Linked DNA regions of Tribolium castaneum. The protein of the gene in region 2 purifies or fractionates together with the protein of the main gene of each other region. This does not show direct contact. Links are inferred from orthologs where the notes say so. Each region holds a gene or a part of one and is shown on either strand. Other genes may lie near its edges. The genes, in order: l(1)G0004, bys and RpS3.

Evidence for each region.
Region 1: the proteins of bys (region 2) and l(1)G0004 fractionate together in Homo sapiens (co-fractionation; 4 studies listed by BioGRID and IntAct, with this or other methods). This does not show direct contact. The link is inferred for Tribolium castaneum from reciprocal best matches to the Homo sapiens genes BYSL and PNO1.
Region 3: the proteins of bys (region 2) and RpS3 purify together in Homo sapiens (affinity purification with mass spectrometry; 4 studies listed by BioGRID and IntAct, counting the BioPlex papers as one, with this or other methods). This does not show direct contact. The link is inferred for Tribolium castaneum from reciprocal best matches to the Homo sapiens genes BYSL and RPS3.

The regions. Positions count from the first base shown.
Region 1 is NC_087396.1:22,616,844-22,619,217, forward strand, and holds l(1)G0004 (RNA-binding protein pno1), read right to left. Parts: upstream 1,551-2,374; 5' UTR 1,434-1,550; coding exon 1,050-1,433; intron 999-1,049; coding exon 654-998; 3' UTR 639-653; downstream 1-638. Other genes in the region: Vti1b (vesicle transport through interaction with t-SNAREs homolog 1B), read left to right, coding at 288-638; uncharacterized protein LOC107398176, read left to right, coding at 1,798-2,165, 2,213-2,374. UniProt on the Homo sapiens protein: Part of the small subunit (SSU) processome, first precursor of the small eukaryotic ribosomal subunit.
Region 2 is NC_087398.1:4,030,550-4,033,782, forward strand, and holds bys (bystin), read left to right. Parts: upstream 1-1,123; 5' UTR 1,124-1,209; coding exon 1,210-1,344; intron 1,345-1,389; coding exon 1,390-1,861; intron 1,862-1,906; coding exon 1,907-2,565; 3' UTR 2,566-2,652; downstream 2,653-3,233. Other genes in the region: kto (mediator of RNA polymerase II transcription subunit 12), read right to left, coding at 1-16, 70-619; Tango11 (transport and Golgi organization protein 11), read right to left, coding at 2,725-3,161, 3,205-3,233. UniProt on the Homo sapiens protein: Required for processing of 20S pre-rRNA precursor and biogenesis of 40S ribosomal subunits. May be required for trophinin-dependent regulation of cell adhesion during implantation of human embryos.
Region 3 is NC_087402.1:7,605,670-7,609,429, reverse strand, and holds RpS3 (ribosomal protein S3), read right to left. Parts: upstream 2,226-3,760; 5' UTR 2,184-2,225; exon of another isoform or gene 2,110-2,183; intron 1,534-2,109; exon of another isoform or gene 1,481-1,533; 5' UTR 1,431-1,480; coding exon 1,401-1,430; intron 1,213-1,400; coding exon 846-1,212; intron 791-845; coding exon 633-790; intron 580-632; coding exon 409-579; 3' UTR 366-408; downstream 1-365. Other genes in the region: cathepsin O, read left to right, coding at 2,342-2,521, 2,568-3,070, 3,120-3,426. UniProt on the Homo sapiens protein: Component of the small ribosomal subunit. The ribosome is a large ribonucleoprotein complex responsible for the synthesis of proteins in the cell. Has endonuclease activity and plays a role in repair of damaged DNA.

The DNA.
Region 1 (2,374 bases), on a different chromosome or scaffold from region 2:
TTACAAAGGCGCAAAACCACATAATTTATGTACCAATTGGGCTGGAAATAGGTGCATTACCTCAAACTGGCAGTCTCCGTTCGAATTCGTAACCAATTATCACTTTAATCACAATTTTGGGAAACGATTTTGAAAACACCGCACTTATTTGTTATCACCGCCATTTTTAATGAACATAACCAAGAAATTTTTTTATCAATTATTTATTGTTAATTAATTATAATTAGCTATTAACAATTCGTGCAAAAACGCCCATGTGAAATAGTGTACTGTAAAGTTGGGTCAAAATGTTCAACGAGTCGAACTACGATTGGGGGGCCCACAACAGACAAGTGGTGCTCGAGGGGCGTGCAACGTTGGAACGAACGGGTGAAAGCCTAGCAAGATCGAACCAAATCGCCATCGAGACGGAACAAATCGGAAACGAAGTCGTCTCAGAATTAAATGAGCAGCGAGAAACCTTGTTGCGGACCAGGGGGCGGCTTGAAAACGCCAACGAACAGCTGGACACCGCAAAATCGGTGCTTAAGCAAATGGGGCGCAACGCCATTTACAACAAACTCATCCTCATCTTGATTATAATCATAGAAATCGCCATACTTGTCTCACTCACTTATTTGAAATTTTTCAAGAAATGATTTATTAAATAAATACTACATTCGTTCAGATACTCTAGACGCGATGTTTCGCAACTGCCCGTAAACCTTCGACGGTGGTGATCCTAGAATTAAGTTACAAATCGCCCTCCTGGCGAGTTGAATGTTTTGGAAACTGCCCAAAATGTGGATCTTGCTGTCCGCCAGGACTATCCTAGTTTTGGTGACGTTCTCGATTGTGAATTTCGTGCGCCCGCCTTTACCCGCAAGCCGGCCAATGGCCCGCGACTGGTGGTCCCCCTTGAGTGTCTTCACGTCCTTAATCTCGAAAGTCTCAATGAACAAGTCGTCCAAACGCAGCAGAGCCAAGGCATCATCCACGTCAAAACCGTACACAAAAGCCTGAAACCCAACTTAAGCCACAACCCAAAAACCACACTCGTGTTTATTTACTTTAACAAAATCAGCGGCTTTCTGCAAATTGCCAATATCCTCAGTCTCGTCACACGTCTTCACCTCGACGTTCCGCGTCTTTAGATTAAACCTCACTTGTAGTTTCAAATGCTCCACAATTGGGGTGAAAATTTTAAGCCAGTTTTCCTTCAAAGGGGTGTACCTGTGCGCAGGGACTGGTACTTTCCTCATGTTGTCCTTGGTCTCGGAGTACGACTTTGTCCTGGACCTTTTATGTCTGGGTCTGTTGCGGACCTTGCCTTCGATCCCGTTGTGAGCGACCACTTCCATGGGGGCCTCCCCTAGCGAGTCATTTCGCCGCTTGGTGGCCCTCTTCGGCTCGAAATTGTCAGTTTCGATGTTAACATCGGCTTGCGTGGCCATTTTGTAACACTAGTCGCGGATTTGGGGCAAAATTGGCTATTTTAAAACCATAACCCTTTAAGGTTAGGTGCACGTGTTGACGAAACGTCAGAAAGAGCGCAGGAGTGCGTTCATAAACTAAAGTATCTTGTGTTGTTGTGACGTCAGAGTAAGGCAATTTTCACCTAGAGTGAATGCAGAGCTTTCTGAAGTTTATGAACGGTTGAAGTAGACTGCAACATGACAGTTGACACTCTTGTAATTGTTTGACATAAAAATATAACCTGTCGTTTAAAGTAGGTAAGTGACAAATAATATCAGCTCTTTGGTCCGTTTATGGCATAGGTACATTTAAGCCCACCAATTCAACAAACGAACCGTAACAATGAATGACATAATTACTATCCCTGTTGTATTATCATCGGAAATGTTATTTGGCATTCCGGTTACATATTCTTCTGATGAGGACAGCGATGTAACTGATGAAGAAAATATTGTTACGATGATGCTTATAAAAAGTAGGAAAATTAAGAAACCTCAACGTATTGAGAATTATATTGAAGCAACAATTTCTGGTTATACCAAGCAAGAATTTCAGCAACATTTTCGAGTAACCATTGAGGCTTATGAACAACTCTTACAAACAGTTGGCCCCTATTTAATGCGACAAGCTGCTACTGGACGAAGTACTGTTCAAGTCGAAAAACAATTGTTGTCAGTTATATGGATACTCGTAACACCCGATTCATACAGGTTAGCTAAAATATTATAACTCCACGTTATAATATTGTTGATTTTAGATCAGTTGGAGAAAGATTTGGACTAGCAAAGTCATCTCTTTCACAGTGTTTCAAACGAGTAGTAAAAATTCTAAATGCCGTAGCACCAACTATTATAAAATGGCCAGAAGGGATGCAATTACAAAATGTTGAGAGAAGATTTCATGCATTTGCCAGAATGCC
Region 2 (3,233 bases):
ATCGTTCCGGTCCATTCTACAAGAAATTGTAGTTAAGTGTAAAGTTAATACAAGTAATAAAATAGAGACCTGTAGTCGGGTCTGGCATTTGCCGTTTTTTGATTTTGGCCTCGGACACGGCAACTGTGTAAGCCGAACTCAACTTGATAAACCAGGCGGCCCGCATCATAGGCACCTGATACTCGCACAGCATTATAAAAATCTCCTCTTTCTTGTTGAAATTGGGCGCTTTTTTCGACAAGTGCATCAATGGTTTGTTCCCAGCTAGATCCTTAAACCAGAGTTCTATGGCATTTTTTGTTCGTATTGTGGCGGGCCAGAAGTTGTCTTTGGGGTTGATTTGTTGCCGCTTCCTGCCGGAATCGGGCAACATGCTCAACTCCTCTTTGCGTTTGATAATGTCATTGAAATAATCCCCGACTTTGCTTGCCGAAATATTGCAGTTTCTGGCCGTTCCAAATTCGTCGCTTAAGTGGGTCATTGTCAGGAACCCATGTTTAACGTTGACACTCGTCAACTCGTCTTCTTTTTGCTTCGGTTCTTGCGGGTAAACGTCCGGAGGGCCGATTTTCGGCTTTTTCAAAGGTCGTTTTTCGTACAAAAGGCTGCTATTGAACATTTTGGCACAATTTGGGATTGCTATTATTTTGAACACTGACAAGGGGGCCTTTAGGCAGCTCCAATGTAACGCATCGCTACAATTTAATTAAAATCTCGACCCCGGGGGCTTCATTGCGGGGGAAAGTGCCAACACCTAAACGAGAGGATGGGAGCTAATATTTCAGTTTTTACACCGATTTAGACAAATAAAAAAACGACAAAGTATTGAACAAGCATTATGTAAGCTTAATTAGGAAAAAATGTAGTGATAAATTACCGTTTTGACGAAATAAACACACTTTTATGCACCAACAACACAAGTTTTGAAGATGGTGTCCTCCATCTTGACCTCTAGGGATAATAAAAAAATCCCTGCTAATTGCTTAATTTTATCGAATTTTAAACTAATAGCGCAATAGTTTAAAAAGCGAATTTTTAGAAAATTAATTTTGCAAAATATTTTACCCGATTTGACCCAATCTCGTACTTAATGCTGCTGTTTTCCAATTTAATTTTAAATTGCCAATGTCGCCAACCCAAACCTCTGACAAGTCCTTTTAGGTTACGTCCAGATAGTTTGAAGACACGTGTGGTAAACAAATAGGGATAATGGGCAAAGCAAAGCGCCTGAAGCCGTCTCAGATGGGCACCAAGGTGCCCCTGGACCAGGACATCGAGGACGCGAAGTTTGCCAAGTCGAAAAACCGCAACAAAATCCGTCTAAGACAAGACGACGATGAACAAGTTTGTATCGCTTTATGATTGTCTAAAACCAATAAAAAATTCCAGTTTGTGGACTCGAACCTCTCGCGGAAGATTCTCTCAGCCGCCCGAGAGCAGCAACGCGAGCTGGACTCAAGTTTCGGCCCCACGCCGTCCGAGGCAAGTTCAAGCAAGTTTAAAGTGTCCAAACTGGGGGACGATGACTCCGAACCGGAAGAGGAAGACACCCTCGAACCGGACACGTTTTACGAAAACATTGAAATCAATGAAGAGGATGAGAAAGCTTTAGAGAAGTTCATGAGTAGCAATCCGGCCCCGAGACGCACTTTGGGGGATATTTTGGCCGAGAAGTTTACCGAAGTTAAGACGCATTTTAGCGAGGAAGGCTCGGTCAAAATGCAGGAGTTGGACCCACGGGTGGAACAAATGTATCAAGGGGTGAGGGATGTTTTGCGGAAATATAGGAGCGGCAAGTTGCCGAAAGCGTTCAAAATCATCCCCAACTTGCGGAATTGGGAACAAATCTTATACATCACGGGTAATTAAAATCATTGTTGATGCCCAGCGGTTAATTAAGTTTTAGATCCGCCAAGTTGGTCAGCTGCTGCCATGTACCAAGCCACCCGTATTTTCGCCTCAAACCTCAAGGAAAAAATGGCTCAGAGGTTCTATAATTTGGTTTTGTTGCCCCGAATTCGCGACGACTTGGCCGAATACAAGCGACTCAATTTCCACTTATATCAAGCCTTGAGGAAAGCCCTGTTCAAACCTGGGGGCTTCATGAAGGGAATTCTCCTACCACTGCTTGAAAGTGGCGATTGTACGCTCAGGGAAGCTATTATAATAGGCTCAGTTGTCGCAAGAAACTCTATTCCTATTTTGCATTCTTCTGCCGCGATTTTGAAAATCGCGGAAATGGATTACACCGGCGCCAATTCGATTTTTTTGCGTATTTTCTTCGATAAAAGATACGCGTTGCCGTATCGTGTTGTGGACGCAGTTGTGTTCCACTTTTTGAGATTCGAGCGAGATTCCAGGGAATTACCCGTTTTGTGGCATCAGGCTTTCCTGACATTTGTACAAAGATACAAAGCTGATATTTCAAGCGAGCAAAGGGACAGTTTATTAGAATTATTAAAGAAGCAAAACCACCACGCTATCACACCAGAGATCAGAAGAGAAATTCAAAATGCGAAATGTCGAGACGCTGAAACCGCCGAACCAAAAATGGACTTTGACTAAATTAATGGTTACATAATTGTGATAATTATATTGAAAAAAATCGGTTACAACAAGACTATTAATAAAAACTTGGAAAAATTAGGAAAATTATGTTACTTAAACCAGAACTAATTAACGTCAATACGATTTGTTCCTAACTTAGGGATAAACTAGTGCTCCCTAATCTCTATTCATCCAAATAATGACTTTCAACAACAAATAAGCGACTCCAAAACCAACTAGAAACTTCTCCTTTTGGAGCCGGCTCAAGTTTTCTAATTCTAAGGCCATCACACGTCTGTTGAGCTTCGCCATTTGCCGCCTGAGGTGCAGCACCTCTTCGGCGGCCGTCAGCCTCTCGCCGCTGCCCCCGATCGGGGGCGTAGTCTCGCGTATCGTCAGATTCAAATCCGAATCATCAAACGCCTGTTTTTTCTTTGGTTTAACCACCGGAATCTGGTTCAGTTCCGGGTCCTCCATCTCCTCAAGAGTGGGAAAGGGGTACTTGTCCAGAGTCAAAGTCCTGGGCGGGGTCGCAACCCGCACATCCCCGGGGTACGGTTCTGGGGGAAGGATCGAGTTGTCAAAGACAATTTCGCGTGGGGGCGCCCTTGTCCCTAGAATCCTAGTCAGACGCACCAAATAACCTAAACAACTCACCAATGTGCTGATGTTGCCCCACGACGAGG
Region 3 (3,760 bases), on a different chromosome or scaffold from region 2:
CCTTTAAAAACGGACAGAATCACGATGTCTTTTAAATGCTTACTTTAGCACATTTTTAAACCATATTTTGTTCAAAAAGAAACGGAAATTATCTACGCTGCTTTTGCCTTTTTCACTCAACAATTAGTTGCTTCGCCAAAATTTTTGTTTACGTGTCATTTTGTAAAATCTTACTTAGTTGGAAATTACGTAGCTCCAAAGTTTAGCTAATTTTCTGAAATGTCGATAAAACACGTCGCAGTTAATGACTCACTGCTTTAGAGGAATTTCTTTTTTTAGAAGGGAGAAAACATTCCCAATGGCAAAATTAGGAATAAGGTTGAAACAGGAAGGGCATTTTTCTTGGTATTAAAATAAAACGAAAGTTATCTTTCCAGAATTTTATTGAAAATTAATCTTATGATAACTTTAAGCTACTACTGGAATAGCTGGTGGTGCGTCAGGTTTGACTGCTTTGATTTCACTGCTGGGGTAGGCAGGCAAAATCTCCTCTTTAGGTTCCACAACAGAGACATTGTCAGGCAGAGGCTTTTTGGGGCCTGTTTTGCCGCTGGGGTCCCACGGCAACATAATCTTGACCTAATACAACAAAATAGCATCATACAAACACCAATAATTTTACAAAAACTTACTTTAATTCCCAGCACACCCTGTCTTAGCAAGACGTGGCGGGTGGCTGTGTCCACATAATCATTGCATGGGTCCCCAGAGTGGATCATGAGACCGTCAACAAACTTCATCGATTTGGCTCTCTGGCCACGCAGTTTTCCAGAAACTACAACTTCACACCCTGCAAAATAACCACTAAATTAATTCAAAATACGTTTTGAGCCAAATGTCCAAACCTTTAGCGCCACATTCCATGATGTACCTCAAAACACCATAGCAAGCCCTGCGCACGGCCAAACCTCCGATCAATTTGAATCTAAGAGACTCTGCTTGTGCAATGGCACACAGACCCCTGTTGGCCACCTTCTCGCCATACAAAACGACTGAGTTTTCGGGGAAATTGAAACGTTTCTGTACGACTGAAGTCAATTCACGAATACGACGGTTCTTCTCCCCCAAAACACGGTCAGTACGTGTGGCCATGATGATGATTTCCGTGCGAGTTGGGGTGACTCGGACCTCAACCCCGGAGTACCCATCTTCTGATAATTCACGAGTCAAGAACTCGTTCAATTCGGCTTTGAAAACGCCATCGCCAACAAACTACAAATAAGCGCAACATCAAGTCGGTGAACTGGGGACCACATGTGGGAAAATGTTGGGTTATGGTTTGGGGAACAAGTAAACATGAATGTTAGCCCAAACATGTGTGCTTATTTTACAAGATTTTGGGCTCTAATGAAGAGTTAAACATGTTTAAGTGGATGGAAAGGCCAATTTCTGGTATTTACCTTGCGTTTTTTCGAAATTGGAGTCGCCATTTTGACGTTCTAAATGGAAAAGGTTTGACGTGTGGCGAGCGGAAGTCGACCTAATTGGGAAGGGATGTGATAGAGGACGCTTACAAGGCGGCTTATTTGAATAATTTTTGGAGAGAAAACTTTCTTGCATATCGGGTAAATAACGTAATGAAAAGACTGTTCTTTTTTCAGTTTTTTTACCTTCAAAAAATTATTTTTTTTTTATCTGAGTAGCTCCAACCAAACCAACAACTTTTATGAACTTTTATGTGTTCAGAACTCTTTTTAATCATCTATCGTTTAAAAAAAGGTCATTGTCCTGCTACTGGTAGTTTCCAAAAATATTATTATTGCTAACAAATGCAAAAATAGCCAAAATCTATTTCGGTTTATAACTTGAAAAACTATTACGAATTTACGACGCCAATCAATTCTCCAGACAATTTTGCATACGAATAATTGAAAATATCTCAATTTTGTCGTATATTTTCGCCGTAATTGAGAAAATAAACGCAATGTAATTCTACACAAGTTGCGCCAAATGTAAAATATTATCTTGGGGAAAGATCTTGGACCGAATAATTTATGCAACTGTTGCGTAAAACAATGTAAGACCATAGGCAAAAATAAATTAAAAACAAAAATAAATAAATAAATTCTCTAGTTTTTTTGGTAATTTTGTTAATTTCTGTCATCTATTTTTTATGTTTGTGGTTTGACAACATACGTTGAGGTTATGTCGTGACATTTTATACAATGTGGATCAAAAAATACCTGCTTAAACCTCATTCACCCTCATTATAAATTTCTGTTCCACTCAGTCACTTAACTGGGCCAGGATTGTGTTTCAAGATAATCAAATTAATAAACATGGCGATAGCGACAAATAGTTCAATATTATCATTGTTACCAAAATATCTGTTTTGATAAGAATGGCTTCGTGGAGCACTTACTTGCAAGCGATTTTCTACATTGCTCTGTTATTTTTCGTTATCCCTATAAGAATAAAAGGCCCAGACCAAGCCGAATCACAATTTCAAGAGTACTTGAAAAGGTTCAACAAGACATACGATGACCCTTCTGTGTATCAAAACCGTCTTCATGCATTTAAGGTAAAACTTATAATTTGTGTCCTTGTTGTATAACGTCGCTTTTCAGCAATCACTACAAACAATCGAGACTTTGAATTCCAAAAAAAGGAATGGTTCAGCACTGTACGGTTTAACGAAATTCTCGGACTTGTTACCAGAGGAATTTTTCCAAACCTATTTACAATCAAACCTGAGTCAGAAGACGCATTCAAATGAGCCAAAACGACACCACCATAAACGAGCAACAGTGCCTAATAAAGTAGATTGGAGAGAAAAAAACGCAGTGACTAGAATTTACAACCAAGGCAGTTGTGGGGCCTGCTGGGCCTACTCTGTTATTGAAACTGTGGAGTCCATGAACGCCATCAAAACCAACAAGTCTGAGGAGCTCAGTGTGCAAGAAATTATCGATTGCGCTGGTAACAACAAAGGGTGCAATGGGGGCGATATTTGCACTTTACTGTCTTGGATCAAAGCCACAAATTTCACGATTCAAAGACACGCCGATTATGGGGGTAAATGTGGCCGGGGCTCGGCTGGTGTCCATGTTAGAGACTTCATGTGTGAAGGGTTCGTTTAGTTATTTTTTAAGTTTATTCTTTCTTATGGAAACTTTCAGATTAGTGGGGTCTGAAGATGTTATGTTGAGGCTTTTGGCGGATAATGGACCCCTGGCTGTTGCGATTAATGCGCAAACTTGGCAGAATTACATTGGAGGTGTTATTGAGTATCACTGTGATGGGGATCCGTCAAAGTTAAATCATGCTGTCCAGATTGTTGGGTATGATTTGACTGCAAGTATTCCGCATTATATTGTCAGGAATACGTGGGGTGTGGACTTTGGGGACGGGGGATTTTTGTACATAGCTGTGGATAAAAATATGTGTGGGATCGCAAACGAGGTCTCAGCATTAAGAGTACTGTGATTTATTTAGATAGTGATGTTTAAGTGTATCCATTTTATGTAGAAAATGTATAGGTTTTATACACCAAGTGAGAATAAATGTTTTTTTATTATTGTATTTTTTCTTCCATAGTCCTTGAAAATAAATACTGGTCGCCACCAATGAGCTTGTAATAATTAACTCCTTTTTTTGTGAAAAAAACTCACACATCTTCAGTTTGTTGTTGCGTCAGACATTTTTTTTATAAATAAGCTTCATGGTCCTTCCCTTTATAAAAGCAGGTACGTATTTCATAACGGATTCCAGTTCCAGTGGTTTAAAGTCGTCTAAATAATACAGAGCCATTTCTCTTTTG